Macaca fascicularis: one gene and its partners. The protein of the gene in region 1 purifies or fractionates together with the protein of each later gene. This does not show direct contact. Links are inferred from orthologs where the notes say so. Each region holds a gene or a part of one and is shown in the gene's direction. Other genes may lie near its edges. The genes, in order: FBXL12, CUL1 and STYX.

Region 1 (6,158 bases):
ATGGGGCCAGGTGCCATTACATCACACCTGCAATCCCAGCACTGGGAGACCAAGGTGGTAGATCACCTGAGGTCAGGAGTTCGAGACCAGCTTGGGCAACATTGCAAAACCCCGTCTCTACTAAAAATTAAAAAATTAGCCAGGTGTGGTGGCACACGTCTGTAGTTTCAGCTACCTGGGAGGTTGAGGCACAAGAATCACATGAACTTGGGAGATGGAGGTTGCAGTGAGCGAGATCACACTACACTCCAGCCTGGGGGACAGCCTGGGACTCTCTCTCAAAAAAAGAAAAAAAAGGTCGGGCACAGTGGCTCACACCTGTAATCCCACTACTTTGGGAGGCCGAGGCGGGCAGATCACCTATCACCTGAGGTCAGGAGTTCAAAACCAGCCTGACCAACATGGTGAAACCCCATTTCTTCTCAAAATACAAAATTAGCTGGGCTTGGTGGCACATGCCTTAAATCCCAGCTACTTGGAAGGCTGAGGCAGGAGAATCGATTGAACCCGGGAGGCGGAGGTTGCAGGGAGCCAAGATTGCGCCATTGCACTCCAGCCTGGGCAACGAGAGCAAAACTCTGTGTCAAAATAATAAAGAAAAGAAAATAAATTAAAAAAAAATAAAGTGGATCCTGGTACAAGGTTTGCAAGGTATGTAAGAATGTCTCCATTATTTTAAATGAACTCTTAAGTTCTGAGGAAACCCAGGCGGGGTCTTAAGGACTTTGTTTTACCTTCTAGCTTTTGCTTGAAGGCCCCACTTTCTCCAGGTCTTTAATTTTTTTCTTTTTTTTTTTTTTTTTGAGACGGAGTCTTGCTTTGTCGCCCAGGCTGGAATGCAGTGGTGCGATCTCGGCTCACTGCAAGCTCCGCCTCCTGGGTTCACGCTATTCTCCTGCCTCAGCCTCCCGAGTAGCTACACATTCATCAGAGCTACTGCAAGGTATTGGTGAAGACTCACTGCTGTGGTTGCACATGGAGACCTGGCCTGCTGTAGGAAGATCTGTTCTCAGAGCTGCTTTCCTTGGCAGGGGGCGGGAGGGATACTTTCCAGAAGGTGAAGTTTTGGGTCAAGACCCAAGGAGCAAGCTGGGCAGGCCCCTTCTACACTCTTGTTTCCTGGGTTCCTGGTCCAGAGGAAGGCTTGTATGTGGGTTTCTTTTTCTCTCACCTGACTACTTCCCTCCCTCTAGCCCTGTATGCTGGTGGTGCAGGAACCCCCTGTAACTGAGTGGGGATGGCGGGGAAGGGACATCTGGGTTCTGCCAAACTTAAAGGAACTCCCCTTCCCCTGCCAGAGTTCACAAGAAGGGAAGTAATCTTAGGGGTGGAGGCAGGTGCATAGGAGTTTCCTCCCCCCACTATCTGAGCACCTCAGCAGAGCTGGGGTGCACAAGTCCCATCTGCCACCCCAGAATTCAGTCTGATAATAGGAAGGCAACAAGCCAAGAAGACACACATAATGCAGCCATAAAAAAGAATGCAAGCAGCTGGGCATGGTGGCTCATGCCTGTAATCCTAGCACTTTGGGAGGCTGAAGCAGGAAGAACCTCTTGAGCCCAGGAGTTGAAGACCAGCCTGAGCAACGTGGCAAAACCCCGGCTCTACAAAAAAATACAAAAATTAGCCAGGCGTGGTGGCTCACACATGTAATCCCAGCATTCTGGGAAGCTGAGGCAGGTGGATCACTTGAGGTCAGAAGTTCGAGACCAGCCTGGCCAATATAGTGAAACCTCATCTCTAAAAATACAAAAATTAGCCGGACATAATGGCTGGCGCCTGTAGTCCCAGCTACCCCGGAGGCTGAGGCAGGAGAATCACTTGAACCTGGGAGGCGGAGGTTGCAGTGAGCCGAGATTGTGCCACTGCACTCCAGCCTGGGTGACAGAGCAAGACTTCATCTCAAAAAACGAAACAAAAATTGGCCGGGCGTGTTGGCATGCCCCTACAGTCCCAGCTACTCGGGAGATTGAGGTGGAAGGATCACTTGAGCCCCAGAGGTTAAGGCTGCAGTGAGCTGTAATTTCGCCACTGCACTCCAGACTGGGTGACAGAGCGAGACCTTGTCTCAAAATTAAAAAAAAAAAGAAAGAAAAGATAATGAAATCATGTCCTTTGCAGTCCCGACTACGTCTTCTCGGCTAGGTCCTTGTCGCCATCCCCGCCCCCAGGGTCTCGTCCCGCCCCAGCCTCGCCTTCCAGCGGTTGTCCGGTCCTCTCCCGGCCCCGCAAGCCTCGTCCCGCCCTAGCCACACCTTCCAAGCGTGGTTCTCGTCTGCAGCCCCACCTAGGCCTCGCCCCGGCTTCCGGGCTTGGTCCTCGTCTCTAGCCCCGCCCCCTAACCTCGCCCCAGCCCCGCCTTCCGGACTTGGGTCCGGTCTCTGGCTCCGTCCCTGAGCCTTGCCCAACTCCAGCCACGCCTTCCAGGCTCGGTCCTCGTCTCTAGCACCACCTCCGATACTCGCCCCACCCCAGCCACGCCTTTCGGACTTGGTCCTCGTCTCTAGCTCCGCCCCCGAGCTTCGCCTCACTCCAGCCCCGCCTTGCGGACTTGGTCTTAGTTCCCAGTCGCGGCCAAATCACGCCTCAGCCACGTCCCGCAAGACTCTCACTGCCTCAGTCACGCTTTCCAGTCTGGTTTCTGGTCCCCATCCGCGGCTGGTCCGGCCCTGGGACCCAATCACTGCCCAGCGAAAGGAAAGTCAAAGTCCTCTACCGGCTACGGGAAGGTCGCGGCCGCCGCCCTGTCAGCCGCCTCGGGGCCCCCGCGGGGACCCCCTCGGGTCTCCTTAACCGGAAGCGGAAGTGCGTGTCGGCGGGATCATGGCGACTTTGGTCGAACTGCCGGACTCAGTCCTGCTTGAGATCTTCTCTTACCTCCCGGTACGGGACCGGATCCGCATCTCCAGGTGCGGCCCCGCCTCCGGGGGGGAAGGGCCGGGCGGAGGGCGCACCTGGGACCTGGAGATGCGATGTGGCCTGGGGCTGGGGTCGTTCTAACCGCGCGTCCCCTCCCCCAGGGTCTGTCACCGCTGGAAGAGGCTGGTGGACGACCGGTGGCTGTGGCGACATGTCGACCTGACGCTCTACACGGTAGGCATGGCTGGCCAGGCGGGCCTGGGCCGCGGTCGCGGTGCCCGGACCCGAAAGACCACCTCTCCCACCCTGGGACAGGTTGTCGGTACCCGGGCTGGGGATTTAGAGCCAGGTAGTCCTGGGCCTATCTCGGCATCATCGCTTACCTGCTCCTATTCTACCTCAGGGCCTCAATTTCCCCATCCCTGCAATGGGGATAAAGGACAGTACCTGCCTCACGGGACTATTGTGGGACTTCACTGAGATCATGCAGGGAAAGGGCTTAGAACAGTCTGGCACATATTTATCATTCGATAAATGCTAATTTATGACTATGTTATCAAGTTTTTGTTTTGTTTTTGAGACGGGGGTCTCGCTCTGCTGCTCAGGCTGGAGTGCAGTGGTGCGATTGTAGCCTCGACCTCCCAAACTCAAGCGATCCTCTCATGTCAGCCTCTTGAGTAGCTGGGACCACAGGCGCTCACCACTATACCCGCTAATCTTTTATTTTTTGTGGAGACAGAGTCTCACTATGTTGCCCAGGCTGGTCTCGAACTCCTGGGCTCAAGTGATCCTCCCGACTTAGCCTCCCAAAGTGCTCAGATTACAGGCATGAGCCACCGCAACTGGCCCACCCAAAACATTTAGAGATATATTTGTTACCCTTTTTGAAACTATTTTCATAGATAACTGCTATTATAAAGTGGATTTGCACCCTTCCTTTTACCTTACTTCATATGTGTGTGTCCATAAACAATTATAGTATTAGTAATGTATTTCTAAACTTCAGGTAATGCTGTTCTACTATTTAGATAGTGTTCTACTTTTAGACTATTTTACTGTATATATCCATCTGTAACTCCCTTTAATACAGTATTGCTTTTGAGGTTATTTTTTTAAGGACAGTCTTGCTATGTTGCTCAGGATGGTCTCGAACTCTTGGACTCAAGTTGTCTCCCACCTCAAGTCTCCTGGAGTGTTGGGGTTACAGGTGTGAGCCACAGCGCCTGGCCTGATATTATGAAACTTAGAGTATTCTCAGTCATTGGTTTTGCAAGGAAAAGTTGATTCATCCATTGGTTTTGTGTGCATTTATGCTCTGCAGTTTATCTTTCTGTAATTTATTTTTTTGAGATGGATCTCACTCTGTAACCCAGGCTGGGGTGCAGTGGCGAAATGATAGCACACTGCAGCCTCAACCTCCGGGGCTCAAGCGATCTTCCTGCCTCAGCTTCCTGAGAAGATTCATTAGAACATGTTTCTTTCTCTCTTGGTTCATGATATAGTTTGGCTGTGTCCCCAACCAAATCTCAACTTCTCAATTTCTAAGCAGCAAAGCATTCAAGAGGTGACTTGGGTACTGTTAAAAGTATTCAGTTTTCTAAGGGAAGCAGAGCTGAAAAGTTTGGAAATTTGTAGCCTGACTATGTGATAGAAAAGAAAAACCCATTTTCTAGGGAGAAATTCAAGCCAGCTGTAGAAATTTACATAAGTAGCAAGGAGTCTAATGGGCTATAGGGAAAATGTCTCCAGGCCATGTCAGAGACCTTCATGGCATTCCCCTCTCATCTCAGGCCTGGAAGCCCAGGAGGGAAAAGTGGTTTCCTGGGCCGGGCCCAGGGCCCCCATGCTGCATGCACCCTGGGACTTGGTGCCCTGTGTCCTAGCCGCTCCAGCTGTGGCTGAAAGGGGCCAATGTATAACTCAGGCTGTGGCCTCAGAGGGTGGAAGCCCCAAGTCTTGGCAACTTCCACGTGATCTTGAGCCTGCTGGTGCACAGAAGCCAAGAACTGAGGTACGGGGCCGTGCACGGTGGCTCACGCCTATAATCCCAGCACTTTGGGATGCCAAGGCAGGCAGATCACTTGAGGTCAGGAGTTTGAGACCAGCCTGGCCAACATGGTGAAACTCCATCTCTACTAAACATACCACAAATGCGTGGTGGCACATGCTTGTAATCCTAGCTACTTGCGAGGCTGAGGCAGGAGAATCGCTTGAACCCGGGAGGCAGAGGTTGCAGTGAGTCGAGATCATGCCATTACACTCCAGCCTGGGTGACAAGAGCGAAACTCCATCTCAAAAAAAAAAAAAAAAGAAAAAAAAAAGAATTGAAGTTTGGGAACTTCTGCCTAGATTTCAGAAGATGTATGAAAACGCCTGGATGTCCAGGCAAAAGTTTGCTACAGGGGTGGGGCCCTCATGGAGAGCCTCTGCTAGGGCAGTGTGGAAGGGAAATGTGGGGTCAGAGCCCCCACACAGAGTCCCTACTGGGGCACTGCCTAGTGGAGCTGTGAGAAGAGGGCCACTGTCCTCCAGATTCCAGAATGGTAGATCCACCCACAGCTTGCACCATGCACCTGGAAAAGCTTCAGACACTGAACGCCAGCCTGTGAAAGCAGCCGGGAGGGAGGCTATACCTTGTAAAGCCACGAGGGGCCGAGCTGCCCAAGACCATGGGAACTCACCTCTTGCATCAGTGTGACCTGGATGTGAGACCTGGAATCAAAGGAGATCATTTTGGAGCTTTAAAATTTGACTGCCCCACTGGATTTCAGACTTGCATGGGGGAACCCCTTTGTTTTGTCCAGTTTCTCCCATTTGGAATGGCTGCATTTACCCGATACCTGTACCCCCATTGTATCTAGGAAGTAACTAGCTAGCTTTTGATTTTACAGGCTCATAGGTGGAAGGGACTTGCCTTGTCTCAGATGAGACTTTGGATTGTGGACTTTTGGATTAATGCTGAATGAGTTAAGACTTTGGAAGACTGTTGGGAAAGCATGATTGGTTGTGAAATGTGAGGACATGAGACTTGGAGGGACCAGGGGTGATATGATATGGATTGGCTGTGTCCCCACCCAAATCTCAACTTGAATTTTATTTCCCAGAATTCCCATATGTTGTGAGAGGGACCCAGGGGGAGATAATTGAATCATAGGGGCTGGTCTTTTGCATGCTATTCTTGTGATAGTGAATAAGTCTCACGAGATCTGATGGGTTTATCAGGGGTTTCCACTTTTGCTTCGTTCTCATTTTCTCAATTTTTTTTTTTTTTTTTGAGATGGAGTCTTGCTCTGTTGCCA
Region 2 (5,436 bases), on another chromosome or scaffold:
CAGTTCAGTTTCTGGTAAGAGATAGAGACAAATTATTTCATCACTGTATTCTACCATAGTGCCAGGACGCCTTGCTCTTAGATGCTCATAAATTGTGCGTGAATTGTGTGTGCAAAGACTTCACTGGGCAACAGAGAGTTGTGGGGTTTTCGACAGTGTATTAATCCATGCATATTTGTACTGTAAAATAGAGCAAAATGGTACTAGCTTTGCTAGTAGTTCCATATAATTATATATTGTATACTCTGATTTCTCTAAGAGTCCCTTGTATACATTTATATTTTTGTACAAATTAATAAGACAGTCGTCTGCGTTCTTCTCAGCAAGCTTGCGGGTTCGAGTACACCTCTAAACTTCAGCGCATGTTTCAAGACATTGGCGTGAGCAAAGATCTGAATGAGCAGTTCAAAAAGCACTTGACAAATTCTGAACCCCTAGACTGTGAGTATCCGTGTGTCTGTCTGTTGTGTTTACAGGCAGAGTTCTTTGTAGCAAATGAAGAAATGACAAAGTATTAGGTGAAGATGGGAGGGACTTTGGTCAGAAATTCAAGAACTAAGAATCAGGAGATTCTTCCCAAATGCCCAACCCTCCTCCCCCAACTCCCGTGTGACATTAGGAGATGACAGCCCCTGAAGTGGTGTCAGCTGTACTGGGGCGAGGTCACCACCTATTGGGATCTGGGGAGGGACTCACAGGCGTGGTTTTGTCTTGTAGTAAACCTTAGCTTGAATCCATTCTAGCGTTTATTTTCATGTTCCCTTGGCCTGCATAGGTAACAGTCAAGCTAAAGACCTGTGGCTTCAGACTGGGATTAGGGATCAGTACAGGCAGATACAGGTGATTCGGTTCTCCAGGAGAGGCAGCTGGGCTGGTATGTTAAGGCCTCGCATAGTAGTAGAATGGCAGATTTATGCTTACGTCATCTTTTGATCATCTTTGTCTTTTTAAAGGAAAAATGGAGAGTTTTATTTTTCCCAAATCAGGATAACGATTCCATTGTAAACCTGGACAGTTTTGCCAGTGGGCTTTGTAACTATCTGTGAAGATGAAATTAGTGTTATAATTTATAGACCATGTGTGTCTTTTCACAGTAATAACTGAAACACACACTGTAGTGAAGTTAGCAGTTTTCTCCTGCTTGTAAGTTTCCATGAGTCTGGGGCTGTGATGATGCCGGGCCTGGCGAGCCCAGGCGTGGCTTGAGTGGACTCAGTGATTCAGGACTGAAAAGGAAAGCAAGGGAAGCAGGGCAGGCATGTGACAGCAGAATTCCGAGGTGGAAGCGAAATGAAGACTGTCACTCTTTGGAAGAAAAGAATATCTGGCTCTTGCGCTTTTTGCTAATTTTAATTGAATAAAATGTTCAATTCTTAATTTTATATTCAAGCAGGATTTTTATTTAATGTGCTTTTTAATAAAGAGCAACCTACATTCATCTGAAATGATTGAATTTTTCAATTTATAAACGAATTAATGTATTCCAGAATGTTCACTCTCCCCTCTCTTCCGCCCCACAGTGGACTTCAGCATTCAAGTGCTGAGCTCCGGGTCCTGGCCCTTCCAGCAGTCTTGTACGTTCGCCTTGCCGTCAGAGGTAAGGATGGGTTTATCTGCCGTCCCCTTAGTGCTAGGCGGAGGGTGGGGCGGGGCAGCCTTCGCTGTGGAAGGGGATAGGCCTGCAGACGGCCTTCCTGCCGGCTGGCTGCGTCACAGTGAACCGTGAGGCAGCACTCAGGGAAGAGCCCTGTGCGGTGGGGCAGGTCTGGATGTCTAAAGGTGGGCTGGCTGGCCCAACTCTACACACACACATGTTTCTTTATTGTAATTAGAGCCTAATTAGTTGTGTAATGAACACCTTGACGAACCTGCTGGTCTTGAAGTATGAACCTTTTTTAAGATCGTACCTTCCAGTGCTTAAAGCGCTTTACAAGAGAGGCAGACACCTGGCGTTCGTATTTTACTTTTATATAAGCACTGACTTTGTACTGTAGGCTTGGAACAGTGTGCTTTGCTTAGAAACACTGCCTGTAGGACGTGGTGAGATCTGTATTCCATATAATGCTGTCCTTTTATCTAGTTGGAACGTAGTTATCAGCGATTCACAGCTTTCTACGCCAGCCGCCACAGTGGCCGAAAATTGACGTGGTTATATCAGTTGTCTAAAGGAGAATTGGTAACTAACTGCTTCAAAAACAGATATACTTTGCAGGTAAGATCACGTTTGTGTCTTAAAATGTTTCTGTTCTAAATGAGCATAAGGTAAATTATAGAAATCATTAGCAGTTGACTCAGCAGCAGAATCTAGAATTCAGCTTCTGGTGAAATAGTGGCAAGTTTAAAGCATGGAGTTGTAAGAATCAGAGGAGCCAAATTCCAATTCTTTCTGGCTGGGGAACAAGTTATTTAATGATTGTGAGCCTCAGTTTTCTCCTCCATTCATGGGATGTTAGTGCTTATACTTGGGAATTGATGTGAAAGTTAAATAACGTATTTAGTTAAGTGTTTGGCACGGCTCCTGCCGGACACACATCAAGTGTTCAGGTAGTGACTTAAAACGCTGGAGTTGCGTGCATTTAATTATAACAGCTCTCCACCTTTGACAAAGCAGTTTCACATTAACAACAGTGCTTACAACGATATTGAGTATAACCTAGTTTATAACTGTGTAACTAAGAATATTTCCATTTTGTAGGTGAGAAAACTGAGGCTTGGGTTAATTGAAGTGAATTTCTCTGAATCCTAGCTTATCTGTAGCTGAGCCAAAATTTCAGTTAAAGTCTTTTCTCTTAAAGTTCAGGCTTGGCTGATGTGGTGGCTCATGCTGGTAATCCTAACACTTTGGGAGGCTGAGGCCAGAGAATCGCTTGAGGCTAGAAGTTTGAGACAAGCCTGGACAACACAGCAAGACCCCATCTCTATAAATTTTTTAAAGTAAAAAGAAAAAAAAACTCCAGGCTCTTTCTACTTCACTTTTGTACAGAGTGGGCTTCACAAGTAATGGCATAATTTAGTCTCTGAGAAGGTTTCACCAATAAACTTCTGAGAACAACTACAAGTCTATGTTTAAGTATTAAGAAACTTCAGAATGGGTTGTTCTGCAGGCTCAAGCTGCTCATTAATTTAAACTTTTCATAAATCTACTCTGACTTAAAATTGTTAAAATGCATAGTATTGTTACGCTGGCTCGAGAGGTCTTTATCAAGTTGAATGTTTCTTACTATATAATTGAAATTTTGTTTCATTTATCCCTAAATATTCGTAGAAGAATCCATGTGTTCGACTATAGTACCTGGAATTTCAGTGTCCAGTTTTTGACAAGGCGGAGGCTTTGCCTAGGGTGTGTCTGCCATGTTAAGGCAGCCAAGAGCGGGCCCAGTAGAAGACATTAGCAACACACTCATTCCCTTGCGTCTCTGTTCAAGGCCCTGGAAGCGCTGTTGTCTGTGGGCCCCCCTGAAACGGGCATGTGGCATTTTTTGTTTGTTTCTCTTTTCATTGACTGAGGTCTTGGCTGGGCGAGCAGTGGCTGACAGTCATGGGTCATTACTTGTTGCTGTCGATTCTGCAAGGAAAGAGGGAGAAGAGAGGAAGGAGTCTTCAGGGGCATTCATTCGCTCGCACACTCTCAGCAATCAGGAACCAGCGCGTGCTACCTGTCTTTTAGAAGATACTTTAGGGCCGGGCACAGTGGCTCAGCCTGTAATCCTAGCACTTTGGGAGGCCGAGGTGGGCAGATCACAAGGTCAGGGATTCGAGACCAGTCTGGCCAGCATGGTGAAACCCCATCTCTACTAAAAATACAAAAATTAGCTGGGCGTGGTGGTGCTCGCCTATAGTCCCAGCTACTCGGGAGGCCGAGGCAGGAGAATCCCTTGAACCTGGGAGGCAGAGGTTGCAATGAGCTGAGATTGTGCCACTGTACTCCAGCCTGGGTGACAGAGCAAGACTTTGTCTCAAAAAAAGAAAACCTTTAGTGCACTTGCCATTTCATACTTTACTTACTTTTTTCCTACTTTCATAGTAAAGTACTTAGGATTAGAAAACCAAATATAATTTGATATTTGTGTTGTTTTACATCAAGAATGTGCCAAAAGATAATACTTCTTAGCTCATGTGCCAAAAACAGATTTGGAGGTTGATGCTTAACATGTCCACATATACCAGGTGTGTGTATATGTGATTTTCGCTATAAAACGAGTGGGGACATACGTATCTATAGTATATATCCACATAGACAATACATTTTTTGAAAAAACTTCAAATTATTTTAATGTTTGAAAACATGGAAGATGAATGACTTTGGGAAGATGTCGCATTGTGGTGGCATTGCCACGTTTTATATTCCCTTTTAAATAGATCTGCGCTTTGTTTGTACTTGTTTAAAGAATGTGTTTCATAAATAAGTTCTTCAAACTTAGGCCATGTATTTTTGGAGGTGTTTCCATGCATTTAAGTTTTCCTTCTTTTTCTTTTCTATGGGGGGCCTCAAAGGCGTCTACATTCCAGATGGCCATCCTGCTTCAGTACAACACGGAGGATGCCTACACCGTGCAACAGCTGACCGACAGCACCCAGATTAAAATGGTATTCTCCTCTCAGCCTCTTCGTTCTGTCGAGCTGCCATTTCCTTGTTCTCGCGGATATTGTTAGGAAAGATAAGGGAGAGGATATGGGCATCTTTCATTTGAAATAGATGTTTGCCTCATGAATATGAATATGTTCTTATTCCAGGATTTTAATGTGCATTATGAAAGTCTTAATTTTAAAACTCAGTGTTGAGCCAGGCATGGTGGCACGTGCCTGTAGTCCCAGCTTCTTGGGAGGCTGAGGCGGGAGGATCACTTGAGCCTGGGAGGTCGAGGCTGCAGTGAGCTATGATCATGCCACTGTACTCCAGCCTGGGTGACGGAGACCCTGTCTCTTAAAAATAAAACTCAGTGTAACACACACATACTCCTCATCCATGCATTTCCCTCATTCGTTTAACCAGTTCTTAACTGTTTCTCCAGCTAGGCTTTTCTTACTAAGCTTAAATTTCCACCTTAGTATTATTTTTCCTGCTAGTCATGTTTTTTATTGAGATATATTTCAGATAATAAAATTTCACATAACATAAAAGTCATTTTAAAGTGTACACAGTGGTTTTCAGTATATTCACAAGCTTAGAGAACTACCACCATTATCCAATTCCAGAAGGTTTTATCATCCCAAAAAGAAACCTGCACCCATTAGCAGTAACTACCAACTAGCTCCCAGCCCCTGACAACCATTAATTTACTATCAATTTGCCTGCTCCAGACATTTCATATCAATGGAATCATATAACACATGACTTTCTGTGCCTGTTTTCTTTCCCTTAGTGTATACTGTTTGCAGGGTTTGCCTATGTTACAGCGTGTGTTGGTACTTCATTTCTTTTTGTGGTCGAATAAT
Region 3 (6,232 bases), on another chromosome or scaffold:
TTAATATAAAAATAAAGTTAAAGAAAATAATGTATGTATTGGCAATGATGTCATTAAAAGTATATGAATAAAAATATGAGTAACATCATAAAAATTAGTAATTCAACTTTTAAGATACAGAAGAAATTTGTATGTTTGTTAAAGCTGCATTTATTGCAGCAAGTTACAAAAGGAAGAGTGTTGAAGCTTTTCATATTTGCTGTGTGAGCATTTTGTAAAACATTGAAAGTTGTTTGAGATAGTGGTATAAGAAAGCATTTCTTATGACTTATTTTGTATCATTTGTTTTCCTCATCTAAAAAGTTGAATAAAATCTGTTTGATTTAGTTCTCCTACGTATATATTCTTGTCTTTTCTAAGAGTACATTTACTATGGTCCTTTAGGTTCTTTAGCAAGTAAACTATTTGATAACCCAGATGGATTGTGGATTTTTGAATATTATTTAAAAATAGTACCCATACTTGGTGTTCATAAGATCATCTTCTTAAATAAAACATGGATGTGTGGGTATGTCTATACTCCTCCTTCCAGATAGTATTTACCTATTCTTCATTTACTGTGATTAAGCTCATTGTTGATTAATTGAAAATATACATGCACATCCATAACGTTTTAAAGAGTATGATTCAATGGAATATTTGCTAATATGTGACTTAGTTTTCTTGGTTTATGTAAGATGATCGGTCCCTGTTGAGGATGTGAAGGTCTGGACTCTCTTCCAGGAAATATTATAACATACACACAATTTTGCATATACTGTACTTTCAGGAAATGTATTGTTTCCCAGGCTCATCCAAGGACTCTTTAGGTATCTATGGATACCTGGCTAACAGTGTATGATGTAGGGGATGTAGGAGTGTCAGAAATGTTCAAAACAAGATTTCTGTTACCTATACATGATTCTTTCTCGTATCATCTGGCAATAAAACTATAACAGTACACAAAGGAATCATTAGGCATAAATAGTTATTAAAGATGCTGGTGAAAAGAAAAGACAACTTCAGTTTCATAAACACTAAAGAACCAAAAATACATGACCTAGCTAATGACACAATAATTCTTCAAATTAAAAACTTCCTAGCAGGATATTATGTGCCTTTTTTTAATTTTAAAAGATGAAGAACAGTTAAAATAGTGATAGAGAAAATGGAGTGCTCAAGTTAGCCATCTAATACTCAAATTATACAGTTCTGTTTCTATGTGTTGGCAGTGCATTTTATGTGACAATATAAAAAGAATGTCAGGGGAGGTTTAAGTCAAATATCTACGTGATCTTTTCACTTATAATTTGCATTTAGTTAATGAGTAACTTGCCTTTTACCTTTGTGGCAGTGGTTGTTTTTTAAAGAATCAATTTGGTGTACAAATCCTTTCTTTTCTGTTTTTGAGAGAGTTTTGCTCTTGTTGTCCAGACTGGAGGGCAATGGCACTATCTCGGCTCACTGCAACCTCTGCATCCCGGGTTTAAGTGGTTCTCCTGCCTCAGCCTTCCAAATAGCTGGGATTACAGGCATAGGCCACCACACCCAGCTAATTTTTGTATTTTTAGTAGAGACGGGGTTTCTCCATGTTGGTCAGGCTGGTCTCAAACTCCCGACCTCAGGTGATCCGCCCACTTCAGCCTCCCAAAGTGCTGGGATTACAGGCGTGAGCCGCCGTGCCTGGTCCAAATCTTTTCATTGTGGGTTTACAGGCAAACGCCACCACGCCCAGGGAATTAAAAAAAGAAAGTTTTTGGGGGGGGGTGTCTTACTATTTTGCCCAGGCTGGCAAATTCCTTTTAAAATATATTAAAAGCCATGTGGTTTATTAATTTTATTTCAAAATATAATAATTAGTGGAATAAGCTTTACAGTATTATACACAATTTACTAAGTCAGCTATCAGTTCCTTTTTCTGATTTTTTTCAGTTGTCATTCTTGATATTTTCTAGGTAATCTAAACGGAGTCGTATTTTCAAGTACTCTTAAAATACTTTTAAGATTGTTAAAGCATTGAGCCGTTTAATTCTTTGCTTAAAGGTGATGGGTGTTTCATTTTCTGTATGGCACTACGTGATTTTAAATCGAACTCTTCATTTGGTTATAAACTCAGCATAGATTGTGCAGAATTTTGAGAGGGGAGAAACTATAGCTTTCCTTTCGGATGCCACTATCTGGTGGGTAGCAGGTTTTGCCTGTCTGTTCTTACGTTAAAGAAGGGCTCTACGTCCTGTCTGGAAAGGGCGGAGCTGGCTCGGACCGCCCCACTGCCTTTCCCAGGACCTTCACTCGTCCTGTCCCACCGCAGCCCCGCCTCCTCCACGCCGGGTGAGCCGTGGCCTAGCAGCAACCGAGGCTCCGCTCCCCCACCCCCCGGCGTCTGCGCTCTAGCGAAGGGGCGGAGCAGGGGTGGTGGCGCGCTGACACCTGGCGGCGGCGGAGGGCGGGCAGAAGGCGAACGTGGGCTGGGATTGGCTGAGGCGGCGCGGGTGGAGGGGGCGGGAGGGAGGCGGCGAGACGGTTGTCGGGCTGGTACCCGTGCTGGATCCTGGGCGGCCTGAGGGTTGCGGAGACTTTAGGGGAGGGAGACGGCAGCGGCATGGCGGCCGGGTGTAAAACGCCCGACCCTCCTCTTATCCGTCTTCGCCGCCGCCGCCGCTGGAGTCACTGGGACCCTCTAGTCTGCGTGTGTTAGTTTAAGCCCGCCGCCCGCCTGTGAGCCCTCCGCTCCGCCGGCCCTCCTTCCTTCCGCCGCCGCAGCCAGCCCAAGGGTCGGCCGGCTGTGTAACACTCTCCCACCCCACCCACCAGCCCGCGGGCCAGCACCATGGAGGACATGAAGCTGGAGTTCCCTTCCCTTCCACAGTGCAAGGAAGACGCAGAGGTGAGTCGGCCCCGTGGCTGCCATGCACAGGCCTCTCCCTGTGGCTCCGGCCGAGGGGCGATCCCAGTCCCCAACCGTCTTAGCCCCCACCTGCGCGGGCGCCCTGCCTCCTGAGGGCGTCCCGGGACCTCTGAGGCCGAGCAGTCGGCTCCAATCCCGACTGAGTTTCTCGTCCTTTCCAGACCCCGCGGAGGGACAGCGTTTGGTGTACTTACATTTGAGAAGAGGAAAAGCAATCCCTGAGTCCCTAGGCTTGGTTGGCATCCAGGACTGACCTGGAGTAAGATTCCTCTTTTATTGTCAAAGTAACTTGAAAGCGAAGTTGGTTTTAATCTCCTTTTGAGGAATGTCTGTGGTGTAAACGATTCACTTGTGGGACACATGGCCCCACATGCGGAGTAGACTCGGCGCCTGAAGTTTGGAAGCGCGCCTTCGAAAAGTTTCCCAAAGTTTTTTATTTTTAGACAAAGCTATGACCCGCACAATAAAGTGTCTCAAAGCTAGCTCATCTGAATCTGATAACTCTTAATCAGAAATCTCGACCTTTGGAGGAAAATTAATATTGAAAGTAAAATTCTATATACCTTTTCTCCTGGTTTCTAATTCGTGGCTATTTTTACTCCACCTTACATCCCTGCCTGCTGTTTCTATTCGGATTTTATTTTTCATCTGTTGCTAGTTTAACGTTTAACGACATTGCAGACTACTAAATTAGAATTTTCTGGAGGCTAAATTAACAAGACGAAGATACTCAGCTATGCTTTAGTAGGATTAAGAAAGAAAATGTAACATCGCTAGTTAAAAATACCTTTAAAGTAGTTGGGAAAAATGAAGCCCTATTTTTAGGAGACCATTCAGTTTATTCCGAATATTTATTCTATTGAGTATCTTCATTTGAGGTTCTTTTTTTTCTTGAGACGGAGTCTTGCTCTGTCACCAGGCTGGAGTGCTATGTGGTGCGATGTCGGTTCACTGCAACCTCCGCCTTCCGGGTTCAAGCGATTCTCTTGCCTCAGCCTCCCGAGTAGCTGGAACTACAGGCGCGCACCACCACGCCCAGCTAATTTTTGTATTTTTAGGGGAGACGGGTTTCACCATTTTGGCCAGGGCGGTCTCGATCTCTGGACCTTGTGATCCGCCCGCCTCGGTTTCCCAAAGTGCTGGGATTGCAGGTGTGAGCCACCGCGCCCGGCCTAGGTTCACATTTTTGTTTGGAGGGCGCTCTTGTGGTATTGATGCTTGACAATTACATTTGTTTTAAGAGTAGAGACTTTGTGACTGGGTATCACCATTGCAAAATGGAGTGCAGTGGTGCGATCTCAGTTCACTGCAGTCTCGAACTCCCATGCCCAAGCCATCCTTTGACCTCAGCCTCTCGAGTAGCTGGAACCACACCTGGCTTATTTTTATTTTATTTTTTTGTAGCGATAGGGTTGTTCCTTAGGCTGGTCTTGAACTCTTGGCCTCAAGATCCTCCCGCCTTGTCCTCCCAAAGTGTTAGGATTACAGGTGTGAGCCACCGCACCTGGCCCAAAACTATACTCTTTATTTTTTTTATTTTTTTATTTTTTTGAGACAGAGTTTCACTCTTGTTGCCCCAGGCTGGAGTGCAATGGCGCTCTCTCAGCCCACTGCAGCCTCCCCCTCGGGTCCTGGTTCAAGCAAGCAATTCTCCTGCCTCAGCCTCCCGAGTAGCTGGGACTACAGGCACCCGCTACCACGCCTGGCTAATTTTTTTTGTATTTTTAGTAGAGACGGGGTTTCGCCGTGTTGGCCAGGATGGTCTCAAACTCCTGACCTTGTGATCCGCCCGCCTTGGCCTCCCAAAGTGCTGGGATTACAGGCGTGAGCCACCGTGCCCGGCCAATTATACTCTTAAATAAGAAAAAAAGAGGTCATATTTAGGCTAGTTATAAAAATGAATTTATACTTAACATGCAATAATGTGAATGAAGAGTATGATTTTGTTTATTTGTTTGTTTATTTATTTATTTATTGAGACGGAGTTTCGCTCTTGTTGCCTAGGCTGGAATGCAGTGGCGCGATTTCCGCTCACCGCAACCTCCGCCTCCCGGGTTCAAAAGATTCTCCTGCCTCAGCTCCCTGAGTAGCTGGGATTACAGGTGCCCGCCACCACGCCCGTTTAATTTTTGTATTTTTAGTAGAGACGAGGTTTCACCATGTTGGCCATACTAGTCTCAGACACCTGACCTCAAGTGATCCGCCTACCTCAGCCTCCCAAAGGGCTGGGATTACAGGCTTGAGCTACCGTGAAGGAGTATACTTTTATATCCTCAAAATGATACAGTAATTTCAGCACTTAACTGCAAGCAACCTTACAAATAATGTAGAGGAGTCCCACATTCCAGGTGAAGAAATTGTACCTTACTGAAAATAAGTGATGTGCCAAATTAACAACACAGTAGCACAAAACACCAGGAGGACCTTGGCCTCCTAATTTATTGTTCTTTTTAATACACTTCAATTCTTCCCTGCCCTAATCTTAAAAATTCTAGTTTAAAAATTTCCCAGACTTTGCATTTAATCTGGTACTGTATATATCATTATGTATGCCTTATTCCTGCAAAACTGATAAATTCTTGGTGGGAATATACCTGTCTTTTCTGTGTGGGACTGTTGAAAACATACTCTTTTTCTGTGCTGCCAGATGTGTGGGGATTTTTCCATACCAAGCAGTTTTCCAGCAGGCATGAACTGAATGTCCCATAATTCAGTTCTGTCACGTATGTACCTAAAGTTAGTCAGATCCCACAGGTTAATGGCTCAGTCCCACAAGGGTGCCCCCAACCTCAGATGGTAACCACAAGTAGTAGGTTGTCACCTATACACTCCTGACTGACTGGAAATCAGGGTTCCCGTTACTCCCTCCTTGGTTCAGTTAACTTGCTAGAGTGGTTTACAGGACTCAAGGAAGTACATTTACGGGTTTATTATAAAGGATATTACAAAAGATCCAGTGAACAGACAGAAGGAAGAGATGAATAGGGCAAGGTATGGGGGAAGGGGCACAACACCATCCCCAGTATCACCAGTGAAGAGCCGTGATTGCAAGTTGTCCAGGTGCTTGGCGTTTTGAACAAAGAATTGGACAAAACTCCCAGCAAAGCAAAGACAGAATGAAGCAACAAAAGAACAAAAACAGGGATTTATTGAAAACAAAAGTACACTCCACAGTGTGGCAGCCGCCCTAGCAGCCCCACGCTTTACAGAATGTTCTTGGGTCCAAATACCCCCTAGAAGTTTCCCATTGGCCACTCCAAGCTTACCTCATGTAAATGAAGAGATGGCTTGCAGTTGGCCTGATTGGTTGCCAAACCCCCCACCTCCCGTCAGTCGGCTTCGTTG

Evidence for each region.
Region 2: the proteins of FBXL12 (region 1) and CUL1 purify together in Homo sapiens (affinity purification with western blotting; 8 studies listed by BioGRID and IntAct, with this or other methods). This does not show direct contact. The link is inferred for Macaca fascicularis from reciprocal best matches to the Homo sapiens genes FBXL12 and CUL1.
Region 3: the proteins of FBXL12 (region 1) and STYX purify together in Homo sapiens (affinity purification with mass spectrometry; 4 studies listed by BioGRID and IntAct, with this or other methods). This does not show direct contact. The link is inferred for Macaca fascicularis from reciprocal best matches to the Homo sapiens genes FBXL12 and STYX.

Annotation. Positions count from the first base shown.
Region 1 is NC_088393.1:10,359,722-10,365,879, reverse strand, and holds the start of FBXL12 (F-box/LRR-repeat protein 12), read left to right. Parts: upstream 1-2,817; 5' UTR 2,818-2,823; coding exon 2,824-2,909; intron 2,910-3,020; coding exon 3,021-3,093; intron 3,094-6,158. UniProt on the Homo sapiens protein: Substrate-recognition component of the SCF (SKP1-CUL1-F-box protein)-type E3 ubiquitin ligase complex.
Region 2 is NC_088377.1:190,441,823-190,447,258, forward strand, and holds part of CUL1 (cullin-1), read left to right. Parts: intron 1-323; coding exon 324-441; intron 442-1,520; coding exon 1,521-1,597; intron 1,598-2,080; coding exon 2,081-2,212; intron 2,213-4,494; coding exon 4,495-4,587; intron 4,588-5,436. UniProt on the Homo sapiens protein: Core component of multiple cullin-RING-based SCF (SKP1-CUL1-F-box protein) E3 ubiquitin-protein ligase complexes, which mediate the ubiquitination of proteins involved in cell cycle progression, signal transduction and transcription.
Region 3 is NC_088381.1:120,556,565-120,562,796, forward strand, and holds the start of STYX (serine/threonine/tyrosine-interacting protein), read left to right. Parts: upstream 1-2,496; 5' UTR 2,497-2,809; coding exon 2,810-2,866; intron 2,867-6,232. UniProt on the Homo sapiens protein: Catalytically inactive phosphatase. Acts as a nuclear anchor for MAPK1/MAPK3 (ERK1/ERK2). Modulates cell-fate decisions and cell migration by spatiotemporal regulation of MAPK1/MAPK3 (ERK1/ERK2).